Sus scrofa: one gene and its partners. The protein of the gene in region 2 interacts with the protein of the main gene of each other region in a biochemical or structural test. Links are inferred from orthologs where the notes say so. Each region holds a gene or a part of one and is shown on either strand. Other genes may lie near its edges.

Region 1 (5,116 bases), on a different chromosome or scaffold from region 2:
GTATACAGTCAAATAAAGTAGGTATAAAATGTTATTGTTATATTATTAATTGCACAAGAAAAAAAAAAAAAAAAAAACATAGACTTCACCAGAGCAAAGATGACTACTAGCTTTGGTTACTATTAGATTCAACCATCATTCATTCTGAGTACAGCTCCAAGCTTGGCACTATCCTAGGCACCAGGGATACAATGAACAAAAAAATAATAGTTTTTAAATCACATGGGATTTGCATTCTGCTGTGCGAAGTAGGCAAAAACACACACACACACAAAAAAAAAAAACACAAAAAAATAAGAATTATAAATGTGGTAAATGCTATTAAGAAGACAAAGCTTTGCCACAGATTGGTCTTGAAAGCTGAATTGTGGAATTCCAAAACCTAAAAATAAAAAATTCATGAAGAGTTACATCTAGATGACATGGATTCTACAGACCTTTGCTAATGCATAAGAACACTACAGACACTGCCTGTGAAAAGAGATCAATCTTTCATTGTCGAAGCTACTGGATGACATTACTTAGCAATATAGCAGCCTCAAAGATAATTAACCTCACAGTTCCACCGAGTTAAAAAGCATGCAAACACAATTTTAAAAAAACTTAGAGGAGCTTAAGGAGAAAGACAACCATAAAGTAATGTGGTATCCTGAACTGAATGTTGGAACAGAAACAGATAAAAATGAAGAAAATCTGAATAAATTAGAGACTTTACTTAATAATGCATCAATATTGGTCCATTAATTGTAACAAATGTGCCATACTAATGAAAGATGTTAATAATAAGGGAAATTGGGTGGGACTCTATGTGAACTCTCTGCATTATCTTAATTTTTATGTAAATCTAAAACTGTTCTAACAAAATTGAGTTTACTTTTAAAAAAATCTAAGATGGCTTCAGGAATTGGCAGGAAGGGGATTTAGTAAAGACTTAAAGAAGTTAAGAAATGAGAAGCTATAAAACTCTGCAATGAGAATTAGAAGTAAATACCCAAGAAATTCAAAGGAAACCTGCAGATACTTAAGTTATGACTATTCATACTAAAATTTTCCTAGGATGGAGATTTTTCATGCAAACTAAATATCTCTGCATCACAACATCAGGCAGGCAAAAACATCCCTAGAGTGCACAATAAGCACTTATCCTATCAATAATGACCAATAGCTATATTTTATGAATGGCACTGCCCTAAAATTGTTATAATACCTGGACAAGGATCAACCTCACAGGTCTCAAGTTACTTAAAGAAACAAATTCAGAAAAAATAAACAAAGAGGAAACTTGGTAAGACAACAAGGAGAAAAAAATTATGTATGAAAGGAGAAAAATGATTTCTCAGGTCTAATTGGAAGCAATTTTGCAACTATTATTAACCTACTTTAATGTCACACAAATTAGTGTAAATAGTTCAAAGTAGTAACAAAAGCCTTGAATTAACATCAGTTATCTTCTTCCCAATCAAAAGAAATAAATGTCTTCTATAGCCTAACCTAAAACACCTAACAGATAACAATGTCTAATGACTTCGTAAGAACTAATCTCTCACTGTCTCAATTTTAAAGACAGCCAGGAAAAGTGAGAGAAAAACAATGAAGGGTGATCACCTCTAAACTGCAGAGTATGAAGTGTGTATAACACAGCATAAAATTGGAATTACCACAAGAAGTAATTTTAGAGACAGCAGCCATCACAAAATAAGGACCTTTATCTAACACAAAGTAAGGACCTTTATCTAACACAAAGTACAATGACGGCAGAAGCATGGTCAGGTAAACAAATGATTTTACTCATCAGATACAGTGGAATATTAACCATAAAAGAAGCATTTCGCCAAAATGGTATCATGTATTTATCTAACTTAGATAACCAGATGAAAAACCCATCTCTTCTCTCTCTCTTACTCCCTGACCCCAAAGGAAATCCTACAAAACAAAGATGTTCGTTATCCTAAAGCCTTCTCTCACAGGAATCCTCAATCTATCATTGGAAAATACTCAAAAAGAAATGGAATAATTAGCATTTCCCCAGTAATTCCTGTTTGCTCCACTGTGAGGAGAATCAGACCCCGCTTCGTGTTAAAACAGAAAAAGGAGAGGTGAGATGTGAAAAATTCCAAGTAAAACGATCATGACATAGCACCTGGCAGAGACTGGAAAAGCATCCACGCGGCCAAAAGGATCGTCAAGGATGAAAGTCAGGAGAAGAAAACGAGGTTTTCCAACAAGCCGCAGCCTAGCCCATCGGGTAAAAATCGCCACTGCCGCCGCCCCTCCCTCACTCCCCCACCACTCCATCCTCAAGTCGCCTCCAAGGCCGACGTGGACCCTCTGGAACCCAGGCCAACCCCCCACCCAGGTGAAAACAATCCAAGAATTTTCTAGGACTCCCCACTTTCCACCTTCCAGAAGATCTGCACTTCTCAGGGCCAAGCCTCTGGGGAAAACAACGCCCAGATCCCCCCTCCCGGCGCGAGGTTCCAAAGAGCCGGGTCCCGCCGGTGGGCCTCGCAGGGCTGACCGACCGGGATCAGAGCGAGGAACAAGGGTGGGGCTCAAGGAAGGGAGCGGGAGCTGGCGAGACGACGGAGACCGGAGGAAGAAAGGGATGGACAGGAGGCTGGGCGGGGTGAGGACTGGGGAGGGCACGTCGACAGGGGAGGGCCGGGCTGCGGGGAGAGGAGCCGGCGGAGTCGGGGCCAGAAGGGGCAAAATCCGCCCGACGGATCGCGGCGAGGAAGCACGGGGGGCGACGAGGGGGCGGCCGACGCGGGGCCGGGGCAGGGGGCGGAGGGCGAACGCGAGGGCCGCAGCAGCCTCCGCGGCCGAAGGGCCGCACTGGGGGCGGTGCGGGGAAGCCGCGGCCAGCTGCCAGGAGTGGGGGAGCCGCGCACTCACCGCTCTGCTCCCCCAGGAACACCAGCTTGAATTTCCTCAGCGGATTCCCGAAGTCTCCGCCCGCGGACATGATGGAGCCGGAGGAGCTGCGCCGCCTCAGCCCAAAGACCTCCCGGACCGACGCGGCTCCAAGCAGTGGACGGAGAGGCTAGAGAATGGGCGGGCGCCCAGCTCTCTCGGCCGCTGCAGGGCCCGGAGCGGAGCAAGACCGGAGGGCAGGGCCCCTCGACACAGACAGGCAGCCGTCGCCGCCGCCTCCCCTCAGAGCCGCCTAGCACCGAGCGAGGCCCGAGGCTGGGAAGGGAACGAAGGCGGTGTCGGAAGCAGCCAGGGGAGTGCTCAGGGGTCCGAAGGCCAGAGCGGCTCCCTTCTCAGCACCCGGCTCGGAGGCTGGGGTGAGGGCGGAGGAGCCGGAGCCGCAGACGCGCCTGGGACCTCTCACACGCAGCGCTTCAGCGCCTCAGCTGCCGCCGCCGCAGCCCAACCTGCTGAGTGCGCGAGCCTGTGGCGCGGCGCGGGGCGAGCCCGGGCACGAGCCTGCCGCCCCGCCAGCCCCAGCGTGCGTGCGTGCGTGCGTGCGCGTGCGCGCCACAGACGGCGTCTTCCTGGTTTAGCCTGCTTTCCCGGCTCCGCGGCAGCGGAGACCGGGGGTGGTTAGGTGTACGCTCGCGTCGGGAGAAGCGGGGAGGTGGGGTGGAGCCTGGAGGAACCCAAAGGGTGGAGTAAGGAGCGCTTTCGTCACTTATACGATGAGCCAATCGGAAGAGGTCAAGGGCGGGCAAGGATGGGAATGAGGTGGCGGCGCGAGAGCGCGCTCGCTGCCCTCGAGCGGTGGAAAGTGTCTCACAGTGGCGGCCATGTGTAGTGTGGCGCGTCCGAGCCTGAGGGGAGGAGAACAGAGAGAAGCGGGGTGGAGGCGGGGCCGGCGTGGAGGTGGAATTGACCCCTACAAGAGCGGATGAAGTCAGAGAGTACTAAGGTGTTTAGAAGGTTCCTAGTTCTGAGCCTTTAGCCCTGCCTCAGATTCCTGCGAGCCCCACTTCACCTATGCCCCCACCTTCTCCAACCTCTTCTTATAATTCCTGCCATGATACCCTCCTAGGTACATTCTCCACTCCTGCTCCCAGGAGTTTCATAACTACCAGAAGCAGGGCCTCCACGTTTTTACAGATGAGGAAACTGAAGCTCGTAGGAAGGAAATGACTTACAAAACCCACAGAACAGTAAAATTGAAGCCAGGTTTTGTCTTTTTCCCCCATTGAACTTCTGCAACCTGCTAGTTGATAAGACCATCCTTGGCCTGATGTGGCTTGGCCTTCTGTTAGCAACCTCTCTTCCTCAGATGGGCCAGCCCAGGTGAGCCCACCTTCTACTGTGATCGAAAAGGATTTAGATATCATGTAAACATAGGGTAAAACTGAGGCTCAGGTAGGAAAACAAGTTTGCAAAAAGGTCACACAACAAATTCGTGGTAGAGCATGCCCCTGATGAAGTGGGCTTTTTTTTTTTTTAACAGCCACACCTGTGGCGTATGGAAGTTCCTGGGCTAGGGGTCGAATTGGAGCTGTAAATTCAGGCCCATGCCACAGCTTCAGCCACACCAGATCCTAGTTGCTTCTGAGATCTACCCTGGAGGTTTCCACTTTGTAGGATCCGTAACCCATTGAGCAAGGCCAGAGATCAAACCCGAATCCTCACAGAGGCAAGGCAGGGTACTTAACCCACTAAGTCACAGCAGGAATTCCTGAAGTAGATATTGTATTTATTTATTGGGGTTTTTTTTGTTTTTTGTTTTTGTTTTTGTTTTTTTTGGCTTTTTAGCGCCATACCCGTGGCATGTGGAGGTTACCAGGCTAAGGATCAAATCAAGAGCTACAGCAGCTGGCCTGCGCCACAGCCACAGCAACACGGGATCCAAGTTGAGTCTGCAGCCTACACCACAGCTCATGCCAACGTCAGATACTTACCCCACTGAGTGAGGCCAGGGATTGAACCCAAGTCCTCATGGGTACTAGTCAGGTTTGTTACTGTTGAGCCACAGTGAGAACTCCCTCCTGAAGTGGACATTTTAAAGATCACCCAGTCCTCCTAAAGGATTCAAATCCCTTTTGAATCTGCTATTGGTGGAACTACCTTAAATTACACGTCTACAATATGTGTATTTTTCTGTGGACAGAATCCATACTTTTCATCAGATTTTTCAACCCAGTTCATGACCCCA
Region 2 (4,842 bases):
GGAGTTCCCGTTGCGGCTCAGCAGTTAACGAACCTGAGTGGCATCCATGAGGAGGCAGATTCGATCCCTGGCCTGGCTCAGTGGGTTAAGGATCTGGTGTTGCTGTGAGCTGTAGTCTAGGTCACAGACACGGCTTGGATCCCACATTGCGGTGGCATAGGCTGGCGGCTGCAGCTCTGATTGGATCCCTAGCCTTGGAACTTCCATACGCCGTGGGTGTGGCCCTAAAGAGAGACAAAGACAAAAAAAATAAATAAAATAAAATAAAATAAAATAAATGGTATAGCAAAAAACAAGTGCATGTCTGTGTATGTGGGTGTAAGGCATGTGGGTGTCCACTGCACTGGTCTTTCGATTCTTCTACACATTTGCCATTTTCATAATAAAAGGAAAAAGAAAGCTGGCAAATGGTGTTTGGGATGGAGGGATGTGGGTAGGAAAAAGAAAACAATTTCTTTTTAGAACATATTCTAAAAGGTAAATAATACATTTAAAAGATAGGAATATCACGGTAGAAGAAAAATAAGTATCACGGAAAATAACAATGTCAGGATATCAATTTCTGAAGGAAACGGCTCTCTCAACCAAGGGTAATACACTCACTCACCAGGGCTCTAGGGAAACAAGCGTAATTCCAAGAAAGAATGCTGGGACTGAACTCAAGGGTTTTAATCGGCCGTCTGAGTCATCACTGAAACAATTCCATGGCAACAGAACAGATCCCGCTCTGACCAGCCAGCAGCCTGCTGGCGGGTCCAGCCCTCCCCGCTAGATGATACAATCACTGCTCTGGCTAGGCTGAAAAAAATCAATGTGAATACTAACGGGAATGATAACATATGGCTGTCAGGCCATCTAATTTCCTTTGGTAAAAGATCAAGAATACACTTTCATAGCCCAAAGAGGTCTACACACAACTCCAACAATATTTTCACTTAAAAGAAAGGTTCTTAACAGGATGAATTTGTTACTAAGGCAGTTTATGTTTCTGAAGATAATAGGCACTTCCTCCATAAGGACATCACGAGGATAGCTTGGCATTGGGGAAGGGAGGTCCCCCTCCTTTCCTTTCTTAAATGAGTCACACTGAACTTGTATCAAACTTCGGGGCACCATACTGTACCTGGGATGCTGATAAAATGCAGATCCCTAGGCGTCACACCCTAAGGCATTGATTTCGTGGCCAGGTGAGTGAGGGGAGGGGCCTGTACCTGCGTAAGGACCTCGCGGGGGGCGAGGTGGGGGGTGGATTCTGAAACAGGTTCTCTGAGGTTCACATGTATGATCTGGGCCCCAACAAGCAGCTGAGTTTGTCTTGGATTATATATGATGATATAGTGAGGAGCTCTGGACTGGAGTCAGAAAATCTGGGCGACAGATCTGTCGCTAACTTATTCCACTCCGGGCAAGTTATTGTTTCTATGCCTCAGTTTTCTCACATGTTTAACGAGGATAATACCATCCCGCCCCACTTACTGGACCTCACATACATGCTAATTTATACAAAAATGACTTGAAAGGAGGAGGCCTGTAACAAGTAAGCATTCTATCTTTGAAAAGGGACGCTTTAATCTAATTCAGTGAACTTCGCATGATCTATTACATTCCTGACAGGAACTAATTACAGATTAGCTTCTCCTCTTTCCTGTTAGGCTTAATCCAATGAAAGGCGTGCTGGAGTAAAGGGACATTCTTACTTATCACTTGCCATCCGCACCCCCCCACCCACCGCACCGCCAGACCCGTCCAATGAGAAAGCACAGAGAAAAGGAGAACATGACTTAAGTACTGTGAAAGCTCTACTTAAAGGAGATTCATGTCTTAGGATGCCTCTTACCAAGTCTATGAGTTTGGTAACAGGAACTTCTCGGATTGGTCTTTTCATTCGGCACAAAGCCTCTAAGGATGTACCAAAACAGCTTGGGAGGTAATTTCCACTGATGGTCAAGAAGTAATCTTTGCCTCGGTCCAAGTGAAGGACAAGAATATCTTCAATCTTATCTTCCCCTGAGTTCAGGATGGTCACAGAGTCTTTGCTGACATACACATCAAGGGAAATGTCCACAGTCTCATCTGCAATGTAAACATGATGTGTGGTAACAGAAACTTTCAGTGGAAAAGCAGGGCATGAGAACCAATAGAAGAAGTGTCTTCTAAAAAAATCAAGTGATGAAGGAGCAAGGGGACACGTGAAAGAGGGAGCCCCAATATAATGACAGTGAAGGTAAGAGACGTGTGGTTAGAATACAAGAAGTTAAACAAAGGGAGGGGGTGGGAGTCACGAGGAGATGGTACATCGCAAGCAGAGACGATGGTAAAGGGGAAACTCACTTGGCTCCAAGTAGCCCTCAAAAGGTTCAGCCCGAAGCCATGGCTTGCAGTACTGGGTGTCATTAAGCTTAGGGATGAAAGAAAAATGGCAGGGAACCTGTCCATTGTTGCTGATCTGGAACTTCTCCTTTTGTAGTTGCCGAAACTTCACATTCTCAAACACAAACTGGGGAATAACAGACAGACACAAACATGCATCACTAGTAGGGGAAGAACGTCAGTTGGATTATTCCATAGAGAATATGAATAAAGAATAGGGTAATTAACCAGGTGTGCAACTGCCAGACACAGTCACCAAATGAGCCAGCTGTCCACCATCCTGCTCTTGTATTATTATACTCACGACACAGAGGGGCAGCTAGGCAGCTCTTGCTACCTCTCTAGGCTACTCTGATTGGTCCTGGGATCCGAAGAGGGTAACCCGACTTTGGGTCAGGGCATTCATCCCGTGACCAAGTCTGGTCCCTGAGATATGAATTAGCCAGCGACTCCGAAATATTAGATAAGAGTGGCTACCACCTGAGGGCTCACTTCGTGCCAGGCGCTGTTTTAAGGGCCCTGCACATATTAACTTGTGTAATCCTCACAACCGCCCCTTTATCCAGAAAAGAAACTGTGGCTCTGAGAGTGTAAGACACTCGCCGAGGGTCACACCTCTACCAGATGGCAGTGCTGGGGCTGGAATGGAGGCAGTATGCCCTCAGGTCACACAGCCTTCACAACTTTCCTGTGCTGCCTGTTCCTAGTAAGAAACATAATTTCCCTTGTGCTAACCACGATGGGCAGCAGATGGGTGGCCATGTATGTTTGCTCACCTCCCTCCGGCTGAGTTCTAATGAAGGAAGGAAGTCATTTTCCATTCTGTCCATGATGCGTACAGAATCTTCAAACACTTTCCGGTATCTCCGTTTATCCACAACCTTCACCTGAAAGAAAAAGAACCCTCTTTTCAGTCTTACATGCTCCTAGCTCATCTTCCTTTGAGATTACCTAACAGTTTAAAACTGGTCATTACAGCAATCATTTCAAATCAACTGTGGTACAAACAATCTCCTCAATTACTTTCTGAAATCCTGCTTCACCCACAACTTTTACCTGAAAAAACAAACAGGTCCTTAGTTTAGTCTTATGTGCTCTCAACTCATATATCTCTAAGAATCTAATCGTCTTTAAAAAGTCACTAAAACAAACATAAATTAAAACTAAGGAGTTCTTGTTGTGGCGCAGTGGTTAAGGATCCAGCGTTGCTGTGAGCTGTGGTAAAGGTTGCAGACGCAGCTTGGATCCTGCGTTGCTGTGGCTCTGGCATAGGCCGGTGGCTCCAGCTCCAATACAACCCCTAGCCTGGGAACTTCCATATGCCTCTGGAGCGGCCCAAGAAATAGCAAAAAGACAAAAAACAAAAACAAAAACAAAAAACCAAGCATTAAAGGATCACAAACTTTAAGTAAAGGTAAGGTTAAATGATTAACTTCTTAGAAAAATTAAACCTCTGTGCAAAGAAGCTTGGCAATAATAACTATTTGGGAAGAATATTTTCTTGCTCCATTGTTATCTGGAGGTGGAGAAAATGTGACGGTTGTGCTAAAAATTACTTCCTGCTCCGTACATATTGACAGTGACAAAACATACCTATTACTATTTCTGACAATGACCATAAAGTGCTAAAACAGCAGAAAAATGACAACAGCATTTAAGTCTATTAGCTGTTATGCACAATGCTAAGAATCACAATATCAATGCTCAGATTACATGAAAGGTGTGTTAGTAAATAGACCCTATGGCCATTTTAGAAAATGGCTGATAAAAAATGTCCCAGATTAGACTAAAAGGATGACAACAGACAAACAAATCATCTTGACTAATCAAAAACACCCTCCCATCTGACACAGCACTTTCAGCTTCCTGATACAGCTATGTTTTTTTAACTATTAAAACTTTACACAGGAGTTCCCCTTGTGGCTCAGTGGGTTAAGAACCCAACTAGTATCCATGAGGATGTGGGTTTGATCCCTGGCCTCGATCAGTGGGTTAAGGATCCAGCATTGCTGCAAGCTGCGGCATAGGTCACAGATGCGGCTCAGATCCGCTGTGGCTGTGGCTATGGCATAGGCCAGCAGCTGCAGCTCCTATTCGACCCCTAGCCTGGGAACTTCCATGTGCCCCAGGTGCAGCCATAAAAAAACAAACAAACTTTATACAAACGGATGCACCAAATGAACATAATTAATATAGCATTTTTACTTATTTAGATTCCAGTTTCATTTCTTAGAATAGAAAACTTCACCAATTTAATTAAAAAAAGACTGATGTATGCAATAGAGGCTGTAAAGCAAATATGGAAAATAACAATATTTTTGAGCCAAATATCTCAAAGACTGGGGAGCTTTTTACAAATCCGAACCATAACACTTAGAAAACTGAAACAAAAGCAATCACTAGCGTCACCAGAGTCTCTAGTATAGTGTTAGGTTAAGAAGAATTTTATACTTTTTAAATAATTTTACAACA
Region 3 (4,823 bases), on a different chromosome or scaffold from region 2:
TGGTGATAGTTGCCCAACTCTGTGAACATACTTGACACCAGAGACTTGTATGCTTTAAATGGTGAGTTAAGTCGTATCTCAATGAAAGGGTCAAAAAGCTCCCCCAAACACATTCCTGTGGCTTCCCAGCACCGCCCTGGCCCCAGAGTAAAGGGAAAACAGCTGCCTGAGTGCTCCAAGGTTCTGCCTCAACTGCTCAGCATCTATGGCTCTTGCCCTCCTTTCTGGCCACGCTGCCTAAGCATGTTCCAGCCTCAGGCCTTTGACCCTTGCTCTCTCCCCTCCTGAAATTTTCTTTCATTCCATCGCCACTTGGCTCCCCCCTCTCCTTCTCTCAGGTATCTGTTCAAGTCACCTCCTCAGGGCAGCCTTTCTAACCATCCTCTCTCTCTCTTTGCTTGCTTCTCCTTCTTCATGCCCTATTCCTCCCTCTATGTGTTTATGTGTTCCATGAACCTAGAAGCAAAATTTGAATGACCTGTGTGGAGGGGGAACAGCCGGAACAGCCATATCCAGCCTTTGCCCCTGGGGCCGGTGGTGGTGGGGGGTGTTCTAAATCTCCGCCTATGAAGCCTTGAGATTAAGTCCTGGCTTGACCCCTTAGAACCCAGGATGGGGATGCTAATTCCATCTCTGTTCAGCTCAGAAGCTGTCCTAGGGATCACAGGGAATTTAAGTCTGCATTTAAATTCTGCCCACTAGAACTTAAGCTCCAGGAGGGTAGAGGCTCACACGTCTTAGTCATGGTTGCATCTTCAGTGACTAAGCAGGCAGGTGCTGTGTATGTATTTGCTAGAAGCTGATCACCCAGACTGGCACACACATCCTAACTACAGGCCCTGTTAGAGTTCTGCTTCCCCCGATTCATCCAAGTCATTCCTGCAACCCCTGTACTGAGGCGGGTGCCTGGCACGCAGTGGGCACTGTGGAAAGATGGTTGGATGCAAGAATAAAGAGCGATGGGATCTATGTGGTGCTGCACCATTTACTAAGCACTTTCAAGTACATCATCTGTCTCCCTGAAGGAATGAATGAACAAGGCCCAGAGGAGGAGATGGGGGCTGAGCCAGGCTAGGGAGAGCTGACTCTAGGAGCCACCGGGCCAAGTTCACACCACAAATGATCGATGGAGCTCTTGAGAACAGTCTTTGGCAAAACATAACCTGGGCACAAAATGAAGAGTCACTTAATCTCTGATCTATAAAGAAAATTCAGAGGTACGCTCAGTGCCGATAGAGAATAGCCTCTATGCATTAGGTTGTATTTCAGGACTAAGCTGCGCAGTGTTAACTCTTCCTAAAACATCCCCACTCCTGTGACAGATGGCATAGGGACATACAAAGTCAAAAGCTCTGTTCAATGAACAGAGCCCAAAGCATCACTCTGTCCTACCCTCCTCCTGGGGTTTATTAACACACCAAATTTAATTAGGAAGTGTAAACTTTATGAGGCCCAAGAGTTATGAGGCCATAACTTCAAGGTCAAAGGGAATTAAACTTTCCTAGAAGACAGAGGCCTGCAGGAAGTTTACAAATATAATGAGAATATCAGGGTAGGAGAGAGGGATTCTGGGTTCATGTGTCACATCCACCTCCTTAGATGACCTTGCCCAAATTACATCCTCATCTGGAAATGGAGGCCGGCCTTCTCAGAGCCCTAAAGGGCTAGCCTTGCTTTTGTGGTCAAGAATTTAAAACCCAACAAAAAAATTCAACCTCCGAATTGATCTCACTAGGAAGGTTCTGACTCTGGGAAACTGAAGTCTGGGTTGAGGGTGAGCTGCAGTCTACCAGGAGTTGATATCACTTCCTGATAGGTGGGGATGGAAGGGTTACCCCAAAATTTGACCTTGGAGTTAGGGAAGGGGAGGAATCAGAAACATCTGTGCCCAGGGAAGAATACTGTCATTATAAGAGACATTCTGCTTCCTTCCTCTGGCAGTGGTGACAACCCCCTTATCATTATACAGTTCTGATCCTCAACCATCCAGGGTACTGGCCAAGGCAAAGAACACTAGTCCTACGGCTCAGAGAGGCAAAGTGCTTGTTAAAGGACGAACAGCAGCTGGGAAACAGGCATGATGAGTTCTAGTCCAATTCTCTTTACATCTGGCACCTAAGTATCTTGCAAAGTGCAGCTCTTGGAGGCTGGCAAGGATGGAATTAGCAGCTCACTGTGGGGTTCAGGGAGATAACATACACTGGGGTAAAGCAACACCTACTCCCTAGTTTTTTTCTAACCCCTGGGCTTGGTGACCATTCTTCTGCTTCCCCATCCAGAGCAGGGCTGCAGAGCTTAGAGGCCACTCTGCCTGATGGGTGTTACTTCCCAGTCAAACCTTTTCATGCAGGCAATGGCCTTTTTTCTGGTGAGAAGTCAGCTCCCACTTTTTGTGGATGTCAGAACTGAGAAGCAACAGGTCAGTTCTGTTCAACCACAGTGTGGGCTGGCCCTGTGGGCAAGGCTGTTTTGCAAAGTGACAACTGGTGTCCTGGCCCTAGTGATAGGGAAGTTGGGGCTGTCTGTGGCAGTGGCTGATTTTGGTTTCTAAGCTGAAGCTTTTATCTGGCATCTCCTCAGGATGACAGGTCCCAGGGCAGACAGCTGTCACTTGCCATTTCTGTTACCCTCTAGTGGGATGGAAAGCTGGGCAAGGAAAGTCTCTGGACTCCCTCTCATCATTCTTTCCAGAAGAAATTCATCTCTAGGGGAAATAGGATCAGGGAGGGGGCTCAACCCCTGAATATTCCATTATAAAAGAGCAGGAGAGGTCTGGGTTGGAGTCCTGGCTTAGACATGGATCAGCTATGCTTGTCCTGGGGAGTGAGTGCTCACATCTCTCTGGGACGGTTGAGCCTTGAGTTTGGGGGGTCAAACACACCTGGGTACAAATACCATCCTTGCCACCAGTAGACTGTGTGACCTTGGGCAAGTACAGTCTCCCTGAGCCTCAAATGCCTCTTCTGTGAAAGTAACTCATAACAGCACTTGACACAGAGGACCAGGAAGTGTGATCATGCACGTAAAGCACCTGACACACAATAAAAGCTCAATAAAGTTAGATGTCACCTGTCACTGTCCTTTCCCCATGGACAACTCCACATTTCTACGTTTATAAGTCAAAGACCCCAAAGACTGCTTCGAGGGCCGATGCAAGAACAAGATGACAGGGCGCCAAGACTCTGTCCAGGACATACACTCCCTGACAAGTAGGCTGAGGATTGGGGCCTCAGTATTCCCATCTGCAAATTGGGTACCTGACCCTCACCCCCGCCCCATGGCCCAGGAACCCCCAAAGGGCGGTGCAGGCTACTGCTCCTTCCCGCTCCGGCCTTCTCGACCCTCTCAGATCTCGGGTCCATCCCGCTCAGCAGCTCCCTCAGTCCCAGCCCTCAGGGTGAGAGCCCGGCCTGGGCCTTCCGCGCTCCCGGCCCCACTACCTATGGTGGAGATGAAAGTGGAGTTGAAGGCGTCCTCGGAGAAGCGGAACAGGACACAGGTCTTCCCCACCCCCGAGTCCCCGATCAGCAGCAGCTTGAACAGGTAATCGTAGGTCTTCGCCATATTACACTCTCTCCCCGACGGGAAGTGCGGCCAGCGCCTCGCCACTGGCCCCTGGCCCAGTCCATCAGCGCCGATCCCGCCCCCCATTGGCTCCTGGCCCGCCGCGCGTCACCGCGGCCGACGCCCGCCCCCGCGCCCCGCCCGTCTCAGGAAGACGTGGGGAAGGGGCGAGCAGGGCGCAGAGCCGGAAGCGGCCTGAGGGCGCCGCTCATTGGCCGGCGCTCAGGACAGGGCGGACTGCGATTGGCCAGTGGTGAGGAGTCGAGGGGCTTCAAATGGGGACAAGGCTGGGGCATGGCATCTCTGTGTCCCCGCCTTCTTCCTCTGACTCTAGGGCGGCCACGCCCCCCGATGGGAGGGGGAGGGCGGGCAGCTGGGCCAACGGCTCCGCGCGCCCTCAAGCTGGGGCGGGGTCTGGGGAGCGTGCGCAAGCGCGCCGGGAAGGCCGTAGTGTGCCAGCAGAGGGCGCACGCGGGTGGTGGGGGTGTTCTCTGGCTCTTGCTGTTCCAGGCCGGAGCAAGTTCAATTAGCGTCGGGTCCAGCGCGGGAATGTGGCGTGGCGGTGGTGGTGCGGTCTGCAGGCTTCCGTGTCAGACCGGGCGGAGCCGAAGAGATAGGAGAGCAGAAGTACCGTCATAGTCGAAACGAGGCCCCCTCGAGACTTGCTCCGGGGCCTTGACGCTGGCCAGCGGATCTTCCTAGAGACACCCAGGCCTCAGCCACAAGCTGCGCCCCGAGGTCCGCAGGACTCCTCAGGATGCTCCCTTGGATCTATTTAGAGGTTGCCCAGGACTTGTCCCAGAGCCTCTCCCGCCGCGACCCAGTCAGCCGTCTGAGTTGCACCCTGGAGCCTTGGAACCCGCCGAGAGAGTTCGGATAGTGAGAATTAGAGGGAATACTAAAGAGCTTTTGGTTCTGTGCCTGCCAGTGTTGTCAGCACTTATAAAAAAATTTATAAAATATTTTGTCCACACCCCAACCCACCGAGGTAGGTATTATTGTGTGTGTTCACGCTTCCCCCCACCAAGTTTTACGGTGAGAAAACAAGACTGAGAGGTTAAATGACTTTCCCAGGCTCTTAACCAGATAAATTGGTTTTTGAACTCAAACCGAACAGCTTCAGAGGCTAAGGTCTTGATCAGATAGTTTTCTGCGTGGTAGGGATGAGCCACATCACTTGGGTGGACTCACCGCCATGTGTCACTCTGGGCTATCAGGCCTGGAGGCTTCCCAAGGATCTTGACAAAAGATGACTGCTG

Evidence for each region. The genes of interacting proteins can lie anywhere in the genome.
Region 1: the proteins of OCRL (region 2) and RAB6A form a complex in vitro, tested with the Homo sapiens proteins (2 studies listed by BioGRID and IntAct, with this or other methods). The link is inferred for Sus scrofa from reciprocal best matches to the Homo sapiens genes OCRL and RAB6A.
Region 3: the proteins of OCRL (region 2) and RAB8A form a complex in vitro, tested with the Homo sapiens proteins (2 studies listed by BioGRID and IntAct, with this or other methods). The link is inferred for Sus scrofa from reciprocal best matches to the Homo sapiens genes OCRL and RAB8A.

The regions. Positions count from the first base shown.
Region 1 is NC_010451.4:8,195,624-8,200,739, forward strand, and holds the start of RAB6A (ras-related protein Rab-6A), read right to left. Parts: upstream 3,590-5,116; 5' UTR 2,966-3,589; coding exon 2,896-2,965; intron 2,600-2,895; exon of another isoform or gene 2,163-2,599; coding exon of another isoform or gene 2,141-2,162; intron 1-2,140. UniProt on the Homo sapiens protein: The small GTPases Rab are key regulators of intracellular membrane trafficking, from the formation of transport vesicles to their fusion with membranes.
Region 2 is NC_010461.5:106,169,484-106,174,325, reverse strand, and holds part of OCRL (inositol polyphosphate 5-phosphatase OCRL-1), read right to left. Parts: intron 3,258-4,842; coding exon 3,147-3,257; intron 2,498-3,146; coding exon 2,332-2,497; intron 2,074-2,331; coding exon 1,838-2,073; intron 1-1,837. UniProt on the Homo sapiens protein: Catalyzes the hydrolysis of the 5-position phosphate of phosphatidylinositol 4,5-bisphosphate (PtdIns(4,5)P2) and phosphatidylinositol-3,4,5-bisphosphate (PtdIns(3,4,5)P3), with the greatest catalytic activity towards PtdIns(4,5)P2.
Region 3 is NC_010444.4:61,446,763-61,451,585, forward strand, and holds the start of RAB8A (ras-related protein Rab-8A), read right to left. Parts: upstream 3,590-4,823; 5' UTR 3,565-3,589; coding exon 3,441-3,564; intron 1-3,440. UniProt on the Homo sapiens protein: The small GTPases Rab are key regulators of intracellular membrane trafficking, from the formation of transport vesicles to their fusion with membranes.